3 linked regions of the Schizosaccharomyces pombe genome follow. The gene in region 2 interacts genetically with the main gene of each other region. Each region holds a gene or a part of one and is shown on either strand. Other genes may lie near its edges.

The links.
Region 1: mutations in ryh1 (region 2) and set3 together harm fitness more than expected from each alone (negative genetic interaction), as found in Schizosaccharomyces pombe (2 studies listed by BioGRID).
Region 3: mutations in ryh1 (region 2) and ufd2 together harm fitness more than expected from each alone (negative genetic interaction), as found in Schizosaccharomyces pombe (2 studies listed by BioGRID).

The regions. Positions count from the first base shown.
Region 1 is NC_003424.3:5,039,029-5,044,702, reverse strand, and holds set3 (putative histone H3 lysine methyltransferase Set3), read left to right. Parts: upstream 1-1,958; 5' UTR 1,959-2,221; coding exon 2,222-4,801; 3' UTR 4,802-5,157; downstream 5,158-5,674. Other genes in the region: ribosome biogenesis protein rlp24, read left to right, coding at 31-35, 86-224, 472-906; etp1 (monooxygenase-ferredoxin fusion protein), read left to right, coding at 5,600-5,674. UniProt on the Schizosaccharomyces pombe protein: Transcriptional regulator that acts via the formation of large multiprotein complexes that modify and/or remodel the chromatin. Required for both gene activation and repression.
Region 2 is NC_003424.3:1,192,186-1,196,950, reverse strand, and holds ryh1 (Rab family GTPase Ryh1), read left to right. Parts: upstream 1-1,805; 5' UTR 1,806-1,914; coding exon 1,915-2,037; exon of another isoform or gene 2,038-2,080; coding exon 2,081-2,240; intron 2,241-2,317; exon of another isoform or gene 2,318-2,319; coding exon 2,320-2,431; exon of another isoform or gene 2,432-2,543; coding exon 2,544-2,754; 3' UTR 2,755-3,337; coding exon of another isoform or gene 3,338-3,754; 3' UTR 3,755-3,805; coding exon of another isoform or gene 3,806-3,889; 3' UTR 3,890-3,940; coding exon of another isoform or gene 3,941-4,035; 3' UTR 4,036-4,109; coding exon of another isoform or gene 4,110-4,172; 3' UTR 4,173-4,246; downstream 4,247-4,765. Other genes in the region: pseudouridine-5'-phosphatase Pud1, read right to left, coding at 3,338-3,754, 3,806-3,889, 3,941-4,035, 4,110-4,172, 4,247-4,289, 4,359-4,406. UniProt on the Schizosaccharomyces pombe protein: Has a role in retrograde traffricking of proteins from the endosome to the Golgi. Involved in protein transport to the plasma membrane. Involved in the secretory pathway where it has a role in acid phosphatase secretion.
Region 3 is NC_003424.3:2,126,471-2,132,230, forward strand, and holds ufd2 (ubiquitin-protein ligase E4), read left to right. Parts: upstream 1-1,970; 5' UTR 1,971-1,992; coding exon 1,993-2,010; exon of another isoform or gene 2,011-2,018; intron 2,019-2,052; coding exon 2,053-2,796; intron 2,797-2,842; coding exon 2,843-5,039; intron 5,040-5,079; coding exon 5,080-5,153; 3' UTR 5,154-5,243; downstream 5,244-5,760. Other genes in the region: gih35 (ATP-dependent RNA helicase), read left to right, coding at 1-226, 263-1,034, 1,081-1,182, 1,231-1,399, 1,442-1,762, 1,801-1,889; Rho family GTPase Rho5, read right to left, coding at 5,425-5,760. UniProt on the Schizosaccharomyces pombe protein: E4 ubiquitin chain-elongation enzyme specifically involved in polyubiquitin chain assembly.

The DNA.
Region 1 (5,674 bases), 3.8 Mb from region 2:
TACAAGGACGGGAAAGAATTTAGGGGGAATATGAGGTTTGTAGAGCTAAATGCCTTCAAAGTATTTATTACTAACGGAAATTTAGGGTACATACTTGCTATTTCTGCTCGGGTCCTGTTTACCCAGGACATGGAATAATGTTTGTTAGAAATGACTCCAAGGTCTTTCGTTTCTGTCGCAGCAAGTGCCATAAGAACTTCAAAATGAAGCGCAATCCTCGTAAGGTATGTTTTTTTTATAATAAAGGAATGCAAAAACGTTATACAGACTTGGTTGAGGAAGATGATTGATTTTGAAAGAGGAAAAATTTTTTTCTGTTGCCTTGTTTTGAAATGATACTTTTCTTCTTCAAATTCTACCTTAAATGGTGTACTTTTTCCTTTATATGCCCATGAACGAAGAAAGTTTTCTATTGTTTTTTTAAATGTTTTGCTTCCACCTATATGTATGTATACTAACTTCAATGTCTAGGTTGCTTGGACCAAAGCGTACCGTAAGGCACATGGAAAGGAAATGGTTTATGACACAGCTCTCGCAGTTACCGCAGCTCGTAGAAATGTTCCTGTTCGTTACGACCGTAATGTCATTGCAACTACTTTGAATGCCATGAAACGGGTTAGCCAAGTTCATGCCAAGAGAGAGCGTCTGTTTTACAAAAAGAGATTGGCTGGCAAACGTGCCCAAGAGCTTCAAGAAGCTCAAAAACTCATTGCTCAAAATGTTCCTCAATTTACCGAACCCGAAGGTGAGGTTGAAACTGCTGAGGTACAAGAACCCCAAATTGTTTCCGACGAGGAGTATACCATGGAAGAAGAAGTTGCAGAACCTGTCAAGATTCCCGTCCTCGCCAAAAAACGCAAAAACAAGAAATCTCGAAACTCATCTTCAGCCATGCAAATGGACTAAACACTCTTCTTCCTACAAAAATGTAACTCTCGATCTTCCGTTGGTTGCGTCCCGCTTCGTTCTTTTATTTTATTTTATTTTATTGTTTTATTCCTTTCAAATTTACAAAATAGTAGAAGAGAAGACATTTTTGGGGAGTGGTTTTCTTACACTTTCGAACTCTTTAGACACTTCGAAAACGTGTTTTTTAAAATTTATCTTGCATATCTAAAGTTGGCATTTGGTTTCGGCTTCTCTTCTCGTTTGGTTACTTCTTTGGACTTGCATGCTACGTGCAGATTAATATGGTTAATAATGGATTTTCGTGTATACATACTTGTAAACGAACCTATCTTCAGTTTGGAGCTTGTACAAGATACAACAGTCTAACAGTTTGAAAAATGGTTGTTTAGGAATAAATTGGTTTATATTATTAGTTTCGTTTATCACAAATGCCTCTTCGAAATGTAAAATTCTACTAGAACGATAGAACATTGCTTCATTATTTGGATTCAATTCTCCATGAGGTATATTTAGTAAGTCATAAAACAGTAAAGACTTTGTCATTTATGCTGGTTTCCTTGCATATACATTTCTCTATAGTTGACAAGCCTATTCAAGTCTCATATCACTGTGGAACTCATGAAAACAGATCCCTCTCCTTGTAAAGCTGTTTAAACCCTACAGTCCAATGCTAAAGGTTGTTAATTCTTTAGAGTTGCGAGTCCGTTATTGACGTTTTCGATTGCTTGCGCACACTCACTAACACCATACATTAGCTAACTACTGACACATTGCACCTGCCGTTTATCTCAACTCATTGTCTTAGTAGATGATTTTTTTTTTTCAAAATGGTTTCTTAGCAAGACTCATTAAAAACTCCTTGACAGTTTTATTACCTTCTAAAATATGTAAAATGAGAAGTTTCATAGAGAAATGAACTATTCTTCAACATCTTCTTCTCTTTGTTTTTACCGAGGAGACGTTAGACTGCGGAAACGTGGTTTATGGGACGTGTGTTTACACTCGGTGGATGGAAATGTTGAAGAGCGGAATAATCGCGACGTCGTATCAACTACCAAAATCGCGTATGCAAATTGAAAACAGAGTATTTGTTCAACTTACATGGTTTTTCGAGTATTTATATACTAGATTCCTAGTTTTAGGAGAGTTCAGATAATCGAGATAGCCATTGGTATAGTTGGGGCTAAAATCTTTGCTTTCATAAGAAAGCAGTAATTTCCAAGGTTAAATTGCTCCTGTACAGAAATTAGCGTTTATGAAATACTTCTTTACTTTGTTATAAGTTGATCGTTTTCTCTTTGGTTAAGTTAGCATGTGGAAAATACGATGCGTTTGTCCATTCGAGGATGATGACGGATTCACCATCCAATGCGAAAGTTGCGAGGTATGGCAACACGCCGTTTGTGTAAACATAGATGCAAATAATGTTCCTGAAAAATATTTTTGTGAACAATGCCAACCTCGTCCTATCGATGCCGACAAGGCGCATAAAATTCAACTAGCTAGGTTACAGCGCGAAGAAGAGCAGTCTAGGATATTATCGCGATCCCGTTCTTCCAACAACAAGAGAAGAACTAGTTTTGGCAAAAATGGTGCTAGTCCTACACACTCTGCGTCACCGAGACAAGGCAATAACACAGGCGCTAATGGCGCTTTATTTTCACAGTCTACCAACTCTTCGAACTCGGGGTCTTATCGTAACAGTGTGACTGGTGCAACATTGCCCAATGCTCATGCTCCACATTCTCAGAATCGCAGACGAAGATCCAACCACCTTAACAACCCACCAGAGGCTCCAATCACCGAGGCTTCTAACGAATATGTGTATTCGTTTCACTTGGAATACGTCCCTTTGGAATCAAACACCTTTTCTGCATCTGCGCTTGAGTATTCTAAGAATTTGGATTTAAAGAATTTAGATGAATCCGAAGTTTTAATGGATGGATGCCAAGTCGTACCTATATCATCTTCAAAGTTTTGTTGTAGTCGCTTTGGTTTGGTGTCAACTTGCGAAATTCCTCCAAATACACCCATTATGGAGGTGAAAGGAAGGGTTTGTACGCAGAATGAATACAAAAGTGATCCCAAAAACCAGTACAATATTTTGGGGGCTCCTAAGCCACATGTCTTTTTTGACTCAAATTCTCAGCTTGTTGTTGACTCACGGGTTGCTGGTTCAAAAGCGAGGTTTGCGCGTAAAGGTTGTCAGTCAAACTCCGTCGTTTCAAGTGTTTACATGAATGGGTCTAACAGTGTTCCTCGATTTATCCTCTATTCAACTACTCACATAGCTCCGGAAACAGAGATTATTGGGGATTGGACTCTCGATATTTCCCATCCATTTCGCCAGTTTGCGCCTGGTATGTCGCGACCCTCCTTCAATATGGAAGAGTTGGAATTACTTTCAGAAGTGCTTTCTACCTTCCTGTCGTTTAACGAATGTGCCTCACAGGATAAGAAAAACTGTGTTTTTTCCAGAGTTACTAAATATATTAAAGCGGCCCGCCGCGCTTCTACTGCAAACCGTGTCAGTGTAGCAAAAGACCGTTTGTCTCTGACACCTTCCTCAACCCCTTCTACCCCTAGCCCTGCTGAATCATTACCGCAACCTTCAAACCCCACATCGGTCTATGCCAAATCCTTGAAAGAGTTTTGGTTAGATAAGTACCGTCTTAGTATTTTGCAAAAATGGCCTGCTGTTAAGTCATTACCCACAGAAAGTGTAGGAATCGATGTAGTCATGGAGCCGAAGTTACAGCCATCTGTGAAGGAGAAAAAACCAACTAAAGATTTACAATCTCCACTACCCTCTGTTGAGGAAGATTCCTCTAATAGGGACAAGAAAACTGATATTGCTGATTTACACACTGATTCTAAGGTGGGCATTGCAGACGTCTTATCGCCCATTTCACCCGATGCTGCATTACAATCCGATGGTCCATTGAAAAAAGCAAAGGAACCTGAAGAATCCTCGATAACCCCTACAACTCCTCCATCTTTTAATGTTGGAGAATCACTAAGTAGGCGATCAGCCTCACCATTACAACATCCTCGAACAAGCCCAGATATGCTGGACAAAACTTCTCCTTGCAAAAGAGGATTAGGAACTATTACGACAGTCCACAAAAAGCATGGTTCTGTTGATCATTTGCCGTCAGTTAAAAGACGCCGTAGCATTGCAAATGATTTTCATGGCAAACCTGATTATAATAAAAGATCGCTATCTATCGAAAGGAAGCCGGAAGCCTTTAAGACTAAAGGTGACAGACCACATAAGGTCCATCCTTCTTTCCATAGAAATTCAGATTCAAAATTGAAACTCGAGCCGTCGAGTAAAGAAAAGAGTGGGTCCATGTTTTTTAATACGTTAAGGACTGTAAAAGATAAATCGCATGTTCACGACACTCAAAGGTCTTCTGACGTTAACTTTTCTAGACAGAATGGCACTCGATCCCATTCACCTTCGGTTAGTCCTGTCGGGTTTTCGTTTGATAAATCTCCTGTAACTACGCCTCCTTTGCCGACAGCTCCAGCACCAGTTATAACGAGTCGCCATGCTTTGGTAAACAACCAATTTCCTACGAACAATCCAAACATTTTGGACCACAAAGCCAACAACGGTGATGATATCTCGAATGCGTTAAATACTTCAAGAAGCGAAAACAAGCCCAATTCGAATCTGGTCCAAGGAAGTGTAGTCAAGCCTAGTAACACTTCAGCCTCTGCTCTTCCTACCTCAGCACCGAAGAAGCTATCTCTTTCTGAGTATCGACAACGACGTCAACAAAACATTCTGCATCAACAGTCGAAGGATAATCAAGCACATGGCGATACAGCTAGGCCTCACACCGTTCCTGCTGCTACAGTTTCTAACCCTTCATTTACGCGATAAAAATTCTAGAAGATGTTGTAAATCTTGAAACCATATAAATGTGTGGATGATTTTTTTTATTGGATATGGTATACGAACAAGTTTTCACGATTCTAAAGTTGGTACGATGACTGCATCTTTTTACCTTCATATGTATTTTCATTTCATTTTTTTATTATGATGATTGGTACTCGGAGCATATTTTACTGTCACCTGCTTCTGCATTCTTTTCTTCTTCGTTTGTAAATATTTAATGACTAAGTGTTTGGGCGAAAACTCTAGTTCCTTTTTTTTTTTTTAGTTTCTTTTGATTCAGAGCAACGAACCCTCAGTCGTTGCATTTTTCTGTTCCTAATTTGCACGTTTAGAACATTGTACAATATAATAATATTAATTTATAGCAGTTAAATGATTTATGTTTGTCATATAGAAGTTTCGGTTCGTAAGATTATAAGAACTAACTATTTAAGATGTCAGCTATTTCCGTATGCGACATGTACTAGATTAAATAACTTTTTGGATACGCAAATGAAGCTAGTACATTTTGAGTATTAAGTATCATAAATATAAACATCGATTCAAATATGCTACGTGCAGATTTCAGCGAATTGTCGCATCAAATTAAACTATTCATCGACGATCCACTCAGATCTTGTATATATCAAACGGCCTACGTTAATATAGCTTGTCTACTTATAGCGACTCTGAAAGTGCGCCGTTAGATTATTGTGGTATAGAACCGGGAGGTTAGGTACCATTCCTCTCTCTCCATGAACCTACTTTTTTAAGCGAAACGCAAACAAAAGTAAACAATTACCAATGAACATTTCACGTTCATCAGGTCTGATGAGACAGTTCCTGCTTCAGCCCTTACGGAAAGGCTGCGACATTTCT
Region 2 (4,765 bases):
AATGCAATACGAAGTTAATTTCTAATGCTTTGTATAAAAATATATAAATAAACGATGCCTGGGCTGCCAATAATGGTACGATGAAGTAAAGGTTGCTAACTTTGGGGCTTATTGAACAAGCGTCACTAAGGAAAGACAATTTAAAATTTCCTTTTGAAATAATTGGTGTTTAATAAATAAGTAAAAGGAAGAATCGCCAAAAAATTGGATTTTTCATTTAATTTTGTCGAAAATGGGGAAAGGAGAGGCAGTGTAAGCTACATTAGTCGGAGGGCTTAGACACAAAGTTGTGAGCTGTAACGTATAATATTGAAATTTTGCGATATTTAAAGTGCTATAAATTTGACATTGGAGAAAATAAATAAGTAAATAAACAATGAATTATAGAAGAAGATAAAAGGAACTGAATGAATTGTATATCTTAATAAACTAGGTAAATTTTTTTCTCTTTTAAAAACATGAGTGAAATGAAATGGCGCTACACATCTAAAAATTGAAATACATCAAGACACTTTACAAAAAAATTTCTAAATTGAATCTAAAATCAAGTTCTTTTGTTTTTAACCCCATTATCTTTTTAAAGATTCTAAATAATCTAAATTAATCGTTTGAACCAAATTTTTTATAGGATATATAACTACATATTTACTTTTTAAATTCTTTTTCATCTTATCATTAAATTCCGAGATTTTTTATTCCAAACAGCAGCTAATAATTATGAAATAACTTAGTTTTTAATTCTCTTATCTTTCTTGAACTTTTCGTCATATTGCAATAAGGATACAAATAAAAAAAAAATTTATTTTTAAAAGAATCTAAGCTTGAAAAGCCATACTATTTACTCTTTTATTGATTTCGAAAATTATTAAATTAAAACCCACTAACTAACCTGTTATTGTTGACATTAAGTATAAAATTTGACTTGGCTGTTCCGTAGCTAATTGTATCATTAATGAAATGACCGAGTTTGCTAAATTAACTCGAGTATATTTTCCTGTAAAGCTTATATTTTGCTTAAATCTGACTCGTTTAACAGCTAGTTTTATTCAAGTTAACAAACATACATTTTTCGAACAGTTTGGTGCAGTCTGCCAATCTTGAACTTGGTAGCAGACAGGATGCGTAGATTATGAAACATTCTAATAAAATTTCAAATGGAATAAAGCCATTATGTTGAATTTCAAGCTTGTTCTATGGTTTAACTACTTTCCATTTTCCTTCTTTCATCAGCTACTAAACAAAAAAATTACCTTATACTTTACTAATATGCTGAAGCCTTCAATGTTTGGGCATGTGATGCAGTGGTAGCATGCTCGCTTTGCATGCGAGTCGTCCTGGGTTCAATCCCCAGCGTGTCCAATATTTTTTTGTAAACTTAGCTACTCTCAGCAAAAATTAGGCCATTCCAATCGAGAGATTTCTTGTATTATATAGTTTAATGATAATCAAATCTCGATGACTCCTCCTTCCCATGCGATGTGGCGCGTTTTTATCCCAGTTGTCATTCCTTGAAATGTTGTGTATAAAACTATGAGTAGTAAACAAACTGTTGTTACAGCTGTATGTTTTTTAACACCCAAAAACCTATCACTATCAACAACTCAAAGAAAAAGAACCCATCTTTAGGAATGCTTAGTAATTTAAGAACGGTGAGAGTTCATGATTTCTTTTTCAGCGAAAAAGTTGTTTGTTATAGAATTACTTTACCGAGATTAAACTTCGTAAAAGCGAATGAAAAGTAAAACAAGCGAAAGTATATTAAGGATATGCGGCGGGATCTCACTGTAGCACGATAGTCTTTACTCACTACTACCACTATTAAGTACGGTGCTTTTTGATCATCAATAAGCAATTCCGTCTGTATCTAAATTACTTTTGTCTGTGTATATTTAGAAGTCAAAACTTTTTGTCATAATGTCAGAAAATTACTCGTTTTCTTTGCGTAAATTTAAGTTGGTTTTTCTCGGTGAGCAGTCAGTTGGCAAAACATCGTTAATTACACGATTTATGTACGATCAGTTTGATAATACTTATCAAGTAAGTAACTATAATTAAAACTTCTTTACTAACAGGGTCCAAGGCTACTATTGGTATAGACTTTCTAAGCAAGACTATGTATTTGGAAGATCGAACGGTTCGTCTTCAACTATGGGATACTGCTGGTCAAGAACGTTTCCGTTCTTTAATTCCTTCGTATATTAGGGATTCTTCTGTTGCTATTATTGTTTACGATATCACTAGTAAGTAATAGTGGCACAGTAATTTTGCCATATATTTTTACTCAGACTTTATTTTCGAATATCTGCTAACTACTTATAGACCATAACTCTTTTGTAAATACTGAGAAATGGATTGAAGATGTTCGTGCTGAGCGGGGAGACGACGTTATAATTGTTCTCGTTGGTAATAAAACGGACTTGGCTGATAAAAGGTATGACACTCCAGCTAACAGAGATTCAGCATTTACAATGCGACATCTCTTCATTCATAATTCCAAAGCTATATTTTGGTTTTTGATGGTTCTTATGCTAACGGTGGTTTAGGCAAGTGACTCAAGAAGAAGGAGAAAAAAAGGCAAAAGAATTAAAAATAATGCACATGGAAACTAGTGCTAAAGCGGGTCACAATGTAAAACTGTTGTTTAGGAAAATTGCACAAATGTTACCAGGCATGGAGAATGTGGAAACACAAAGCACTCAAATGATTGACGTTAGCATTCAGCCTAACGAGAATGAAAGCAGCTGCAATTGCTAGTGTATCTCATTGAACATGTCAGTGTACTCTAACTGTTTCGTGAATTATTTTTTTTCGCTTCAGGCCGCAATCAGCGGTTTTTAATGTCATTTGACCCTCAAAAAGTATACTGTGAGTATATATATATCTTCTTATAGCCCCTAAATCTTTTGCACCTTTAAAGAATCGCGATTCCTTTTATACCTGTTTCCTTTTCCTTCTTTTTTTACTTGTTTTAGTCCTTTTTTATTTTAATCCTGTCTCTATGATATATGCTTTACAAAAGTGAGAAGTTGAATTTCTGAATAAGTCTCTTTCGTTTAATCCCTGCGGTGCTTCTTGACTTTTCAAGGGCATTTGCAAAGAAGGAAAAAAATTACAATGTATGATTTTGGAATTCAGAGAAATGTTATTATTTTTTTTTTTTTAGATTTCGCTTTTTCCCTTTACTCATAAGTTATTTATGCTATGTGAGTCAGTTCAAGGTTTTCATTGAAACAGTAGAACTTTATTTATACTTCAATTTTTTAATTTTATTAAAAGATATGAGGTTTTTTGCCAAAAAAAATTGAATGAACCAAAAAAAAGTTAGCGGATATAACCTCTAGGCCTGCTTTGAATTTATGTTAAGATATTTGTTTATATCAAACTCTGAAAGACTCGGTAACGTCTCACATTGAGAATCAACAATCTCATTCAGCTGATCCCCTACCAAGTTTTTGATGGCAGCATCTGGAACCCAAATGACATGCATTCCTGCAGCCTTTGCACTTTTGACACCGGGAATACTGTCTTCAAAGGCAATGCATTGGCTTGGTGTAAGTGCCTTCAAACCTCGCTGCTTCCTACTTTCATTTATTAAATTCAACACCTTCAGCCAAATGTCTGGAAAAGGTTTGCCACGACCAGGTGCAATACTAGGATTATCACCTGTAATAACATTTTTACCAAATTTCTCAAAAATATGTTTAAGATGGGCTGTCTTCATATTATAATTTGCGGTATTAGAGGAAGTAGCAAGCTGGTGATGCTGTTAGCACACTTTTATTATAGCGTAGGGATGAGTACATACCCCGATATCAATTCCATGATTGGAGAGGTTATTAATCAAAGATTCAGCCCCAGGCATAGGCTTCAAAGACGACCAAAACTTTGCCTTTCAGAAAGTTAGTTGAAATGGAAATAAATGTAGCGTATAAGTACGTACCCGAATAACCTGTTGTTCATCAACGAATTGTTGAGGAGTCATAGGAATGTTGGACCAATCTATAACAACCTTGGCAGCTGCGGAACCCGGTCTCCCTACGTATCGCAAGTTAGACCTGCAATTTTGAAAGCATTTTAAAATATCTCTTCGCTAGCTTTATATAACATACCCATCATTTGAGCCTTAACAGAAATAGGAAGAGGATCCTTGCCATACCTGTCCAATATAAGATCTATAAAAAAAATAAAGATTAGAAAACATTGTAGTTTTGTGCTAAATATAAGCACAGATATATTATTTACATACTGGTCGTCTTTGTATAAATAGTTTCACTGTCGACAAGTAGACCCTGTAAAAAGAGTGATTGTTAATGCAAAAGCTTTCATAAGAGGTAATGTGGTGTGAAAAATAAACATACATCCATATCGAATAGACAAGCCATGTATTTTACGTGTTTAGCAGCCATTTCTAGGTAAAAAGATAGTGAAGCTTCTACGACCTAACAAAACCAAAGAAAAAAAAAAGCAGAAAAAAAACTTCCGGGATATCCAAAAAATCAAGTTTCAAAAAAGTATATTGCTGTATAACCAATAAAAAAGTATAAAATCTTCCAAAACAAGAATTAACAATTAAATATACAAATACAATTAAAGAAAACAAAGACACCGACAAATGAAGTGTTAACTGTATATCTAATTAAAAAAATCCGCGAAAAACCAAAAAATAAGGACAGTTGTTAAAGATCAACAAAGAAACGTCGATACAGTAAGGCGTGATAATTAGGCAGAATGAAAAATAGCTAAATCCCAAAACTGTGCAAACTGC
Region 3 (5,760 bases), 930 kb from region 2:
AACGAGTATCTTTGGAACTGAACTCTCCTCCTGGAAGTTTGTGTGGATATAGCATTCAATTTGATCATAACGTTTCTGAAAAAACAAAAATAAAATATATGACCGATGGAATCCTTTTGAATGAAATATTTTTTGATCCTTTGCTGGAAAGATATTCAATAGTCATTCTCGACGAAGTCCATGAACGAACTTTGTCGACAGATCTCCTACTAGGAGTTTTGAAAAGGTATTTAAATTTTCTATTCATAGCTGACAAATCAAGGATTTTAGAAAAGAGGAATGATTTTAGACTTGTGCTCTCCAGCGCTTCTGTTGACGCGAATAAACTGTCTCAGTTTTTCGGACAAGATAAAGTATGCACTATGTCAATTGAAGGGAAATTATTCCCCGTAGAAACATTATTTTTGCAGAAACCTACAGAAAATTACGTTGATTCTGCAATCGAAACGGTTATAAACATTAATTCAACCTATCCGCCTGGTGATATATTGGTTTTTCTTTCGGGAAGAAAAGAAATAGAATACTGTATAAAAAAGATTGAAGATTCCTTAATTCATGCTTCCGAAGACTGTCAAACTTTAGTTCCTTTACCTTTACATGCTGGTCTTACTGTTGACGAGCAAATGCGAGTTTTTAACATATATGATGGTGACTTCAGAAAAGTTATATTTTCTACGAATATTGCTGAGACTAGTATTACTATTGATGGCATAGTTTATGTCGTTGATTCAGGTTTTAATAAACAACGGATATACAACCCGTATACAAGGACTTCAAAATTGATTAACGTGCCTATATCTAAGTCAAGTGCTATACAGAGAAGTGGAAGAGCTGGAAGGACAATGAGGGGAAAGGTGTTCCGTCTATATACTGAAAAAGCTTACAGCTTGATGAAAGAAGAATTTGAAGCAGACATCTTAAATTGCGATATGTCACCGTTGGTGTTATTTTTGAAAGGTTTAGGGCTAAAAAACATACTTCAGTTTCCCTTTTTTGTCCGTCCTCCCACAGTTCACCTTATGGCGGCTCTAGAGGTTTGTGAATTTTATTATAGCCGGCAAACAACTAATTTTTTTGAAGGACCTCTATCTTTTAGGTGTCTTGGACGAAAGTGGAAATTTGACAGACCCACTTGGCATACAAATTTCCAACTCATTCTTGGATGCAAACATCTCCAAAGCTGTACGTACTCCCATATAGGAAATAAAGTACACGCTAACCCATCATTAGTTACTTACTTCCAACCAATTTGGTTGCACTCATGAAATTCTTTCAATTGCTTCAATACTTACAGCAGGCGAAGTATTTTATAATCCCACAAGTTCATCAAAGAATGATGCCTTCGTTGCCCATTCTTCTTTTTTTGCAAATGAAGGGGACATCATTACCGCATTAAATGGTATGCTTCATTAATAAAGTTTAAAAGTGTATTAACATTTAGTTTTTGAATCTTTTGTCGGTAACAAAAAAGATTTACAATGGTGCAGGAAAAATTATTTGAACTATCAAACTTTGCGCCAAGCCCTTGACATTCGCACTCATTTGGTTCGTTTTTTAAATAAATTTTCTATACCTACTGCTCAAAGATTACCATCCAGTGATTGTTCCAAAATTTTGAAATGCCTACTTGATGGTTTTGTGCGTAACGTCGCACATTTACAGAATGACGGCTCTTACAAAACAATAGGAGGAAAGCAGGTTTGGTTAGACTCTAGTAGTGTACTTCATGAAAAAAAAACACCATGGATCATGTATTCTTCAGGTAAGCCTATTTGTTATAAGACTATTTTAACGTTTTAGCTGTCGAATCAGAAACTCAAATATTCGTGAAGAATATTTCTAAAATAGAAAGTTTTTGGCTGGATAAATACTATAAACGAGAAAAATAATATATGTTAATACAATTTCATGTTACCGGTTTAGCATAGTAAGTTTTGGTAGTTAAAACATATGTTGACCTCACTTCCACCAACTTGCTCAATCCACCCCATTATGAGTGATTTGGAAAAGGTAAGAGAAAAATTTCAGCTAATTGCTAATATTGGCCCATAGATTCGTCTTAAAAGGCTTGCTAAATTGCAGCAGACCAATTCGGAGGCAAATTCTTCTAAAGAACCTAAGGAAAGCAATATTGCACCTGAACCTAAAAAACCTGATTTAAAAAAGAGATTTATTGGTTCAAAGGCTACAACATCAAATTCAGAACAAAAAGAAATATCTCCACCTGTTACATCTGGTGCTCCAAAACATCGCTTGTTTTCTAAGGATGAATGGATGCATTTTATAACATGTCAGGCTCTTAATATTACATTAAGTGAAACTGATTCATCAAAATACTATTTAGAAGGTTTTAAAAAAGATTTAGAAGAAGAGGGATCCCCTTTATTATTTAATGAGAATAATGTTGACTCTGCGTTACTCTCTCGACTGTCAACAACTGGCAACAATACTTTCTCTTATTTGTTACAGTCTTGGAGTTTTCTGTATCAGTATAAAAAGAGACTTCCGAAGGATGAAAACCAGGACTTTAAAATTCACTATTTATCTCTGTTAAAAAGTTTGCTTGTCAGTTATGCCGGTATTGTAGTAATGCTTCCTGACACATTCAATTCGGAGACAATTGATTTGGCCGAGGTTTTAATTGGTGCAGAAGGTATACCTTTGGAATTTCTATCAGAATTTGTTCAGAGGTTTGAACACGAAAACTTAGATGAATTGTTTATTCCTGTGTTGGAATCTTTATCTTTGAAAATTGGTCTTATGAATGTAGATACTGTTCAAATGAATGTGATGCAGGTATGAACATCAATTTTTATCTTTTAGCATAAACTGATATTTTTAGATTATATTACAACTTGTGTCATTAAAACCAATTGCATTACTTTTGCCGAAGTTGCCTTCTTGGAATCCTACGAATAATGCTGGAGAAATTGAGTACAAAACGTTTCTTGGAAGAATATCAAGCTTGTCAGTGTTTACTCAAGATGTCGCTTCTCGATATTTTTCCAATTCTACTGAGAGATCAGCCCAAAATATATCTTCGTCAATAAGTTCTTTAAAATTGACTATGTCTACTTATCAGGATGTCCTTTTTCAAATTTTCAATACCCTCATTCGAACATCTACATCTTTGAGAGAGTCTGTGTTGGATTTCTTTGCCATGGTGGTAAATGCCAATCACAAGCGACAATCCATTCAAGTTAATCATTTTGATATTACATCTGACGCCTGCATGCTAAATTTTTCACATGTGTTAAGCAGACTTTCTGAACCATTTCTTGACATAGGATGTTCGAAAATTGACAGAGTACAAGTTGAATATTTTAGGAGAAACCCTCGCGTTGATATCAAAGAAGAGACTAAATTGAATGCTGATCAAAAGGCTTCGGAATCGTTTTATTCAAAACCAGCCGAGGGTTCCAATAACTTTATTTCAGACATATTTTTTTTAAATCTCGCATTTCATCATTATGGTGTAAATGCTACCTTTAAGGCTTTAGAGCAACTTGTGCAATCAATTCGTGATAGCGAGAAACTGAAAGAAAGATTAGAGACTGAACAGCAAAATATGAGCGGTAGTTTTCAAGCGACACGTCTCACTGCTCAATTAAGTCGGCTTGATCAAAGATTGGATTTAGATAGATCGTTTGTGCACTGTTATGAGATTATGCTTACGCAGACATCTGATACTTCAAGATCATTTTCTTTTCTTAATTTCGTTGCCATTTGGTTATCGAGGTTAGCTGATGGTCAATCTTCGACATATCCAAAAATGCCGCTATCGTTACCGTTTAATGAAAATGCACCGGAAGCTTTCAAATGTTTACCTGAATATTTTATTGAAACCATTACAGATTATATGTTGTCTTTATTTAAAACCTCGTCGAGTACTTTGACGCTGCATTCCTTAGAGCCTTTGTGTGAATTTTGTGTGTCGTTTCTAACTCAAGCTAATTATATCAAAAATCCTTATTTGCGAGCGAAACTTGCCGAGATTTTATACTTTGGAGTGCAAACGCACGTGGGAAGATCAGAATTGTTGTTAGATGTTGTACGTACGTCGAAGGTTGCAACAAGGTGGTTACTTCCAGCACTTATGGCGTTTTATATTGAGATTGAATCTACAGGACAATCTACCCAATTTTATGATAAATTCAACATTCGTTTCTATATATGCGAAGTATTTAGAACTATTTGGAAGCAACCAGCCTATTTTGGTAAGCTGGAGCAGGAGCAAAAAACAAATTTGCCGTTTTTTGTTAAATTTGTAGCTCTCATGCTTAATGATGCTACATATCTTCTTGATGAGGCTCTTTTAAAACTAACCGAGATTCACAACCTTCAGAGCCTTTTGGCAGATGCAATAAGCAATAGCAACTCTAACCAGAATGTTCAAGAATCGCAAAGCAACTTAGCGGCCGCAGAACGTCAAGCTTCTACTTATTGCCAGTTAGGGAATGAAACTATTTTTATGCTCAAATTGTTCACTTCCTCAATTCCTAAAGCCTTTTGTGCCGTTGAAATTGTAGATCGGTTGGCAGCTATGCTAAACTATAACCTTCAAGCTTTATGTGGCCCTAAGTGTAGTAACCTCAAGGTAGAGGACCCAACGAAATATCATTTTAATGCAAAAACCCTTTTGTCGATTATTTTCGATGTTTATCTTAACCTGTGCAATGAACCTGCATTTGTCGAAGCTGTTGCTCACGATGGCCGTTCTTATAGTAAAGAAATATTTGAACGTGCGACTAGCATTATGACTAAGCACAACCTCAAGTCATCTTTTGATATAGAAGCTATTAAAGAATTTGTGAATAGGGTAGAGGCATTCAGATTGCAAGAGGCTACTGAAGAGGAAGACATGGGTGATATTCCTGACTACTTCTTAGATCCTCTTATGTTTACAATAATGAAAGATCCTGTTGTTTTACCGAGATCTGGCATTTCGATTGATAGGTCTACTATTAAAGCACATCTACTAAGTGATGCCACCGACCCATTTAATCGAACTCCATTAACGCTTGATGATGTGACACCGAGTAAGTTTTTTTTTTCCACTGTTAGTTACTAATTCTTTAGATGATACATTACGTGAGGAAATTAACACGTTCCTGAAATCAAAACGCAACAAACATTCGCGAAATAGTGAATGAATATAACTGTGTTTATACTAGTTTTTTAATGAAAGGCTTCGATAAGTTTAAATAAAAGATTAGACAATTAATTACTATGAAATATTTAAACATTCATGGAAACTCATTAGGTAATGATTCGAAGGATAAAAAACTTGGTGTACGGTACCACAAAGGTTAAGCTCGTAAAATAATTCCTTTGCACAAGAGGATAAATGAATATAGTGAATCTAACAATACAGAATGTAATTAATAGAACGCTCTTATACACCATAACAGAGATTGCATTTCATCAGAGTAAGATACAGTGCTTCTTCTTTTTTGTCTTCGGTACACTAGCAGGCTTAAATTTAAGCATGGAAGCACGAGCTGCAGTCTCAAAAACCTCATTGACCCCTTCGTTCAATTTCGCTGAACATTCGAGATACTTATAGGCGCCAATCTTTTGAGCTACTACCTGTCCTTCTTCAAATGTGATAGGCTTCTGTGAGGTTTTGGAGAGCTCTTCGATTGTTTTTGGATCGTTTCGTAAATCCACTTTACACCCAACTAGCAAAATGGGTAAATTGGAGCAGAAGTGAAGAACTTCAGAAATCCATTTTTCTTGAACATTGTCCAAACTCTCTGG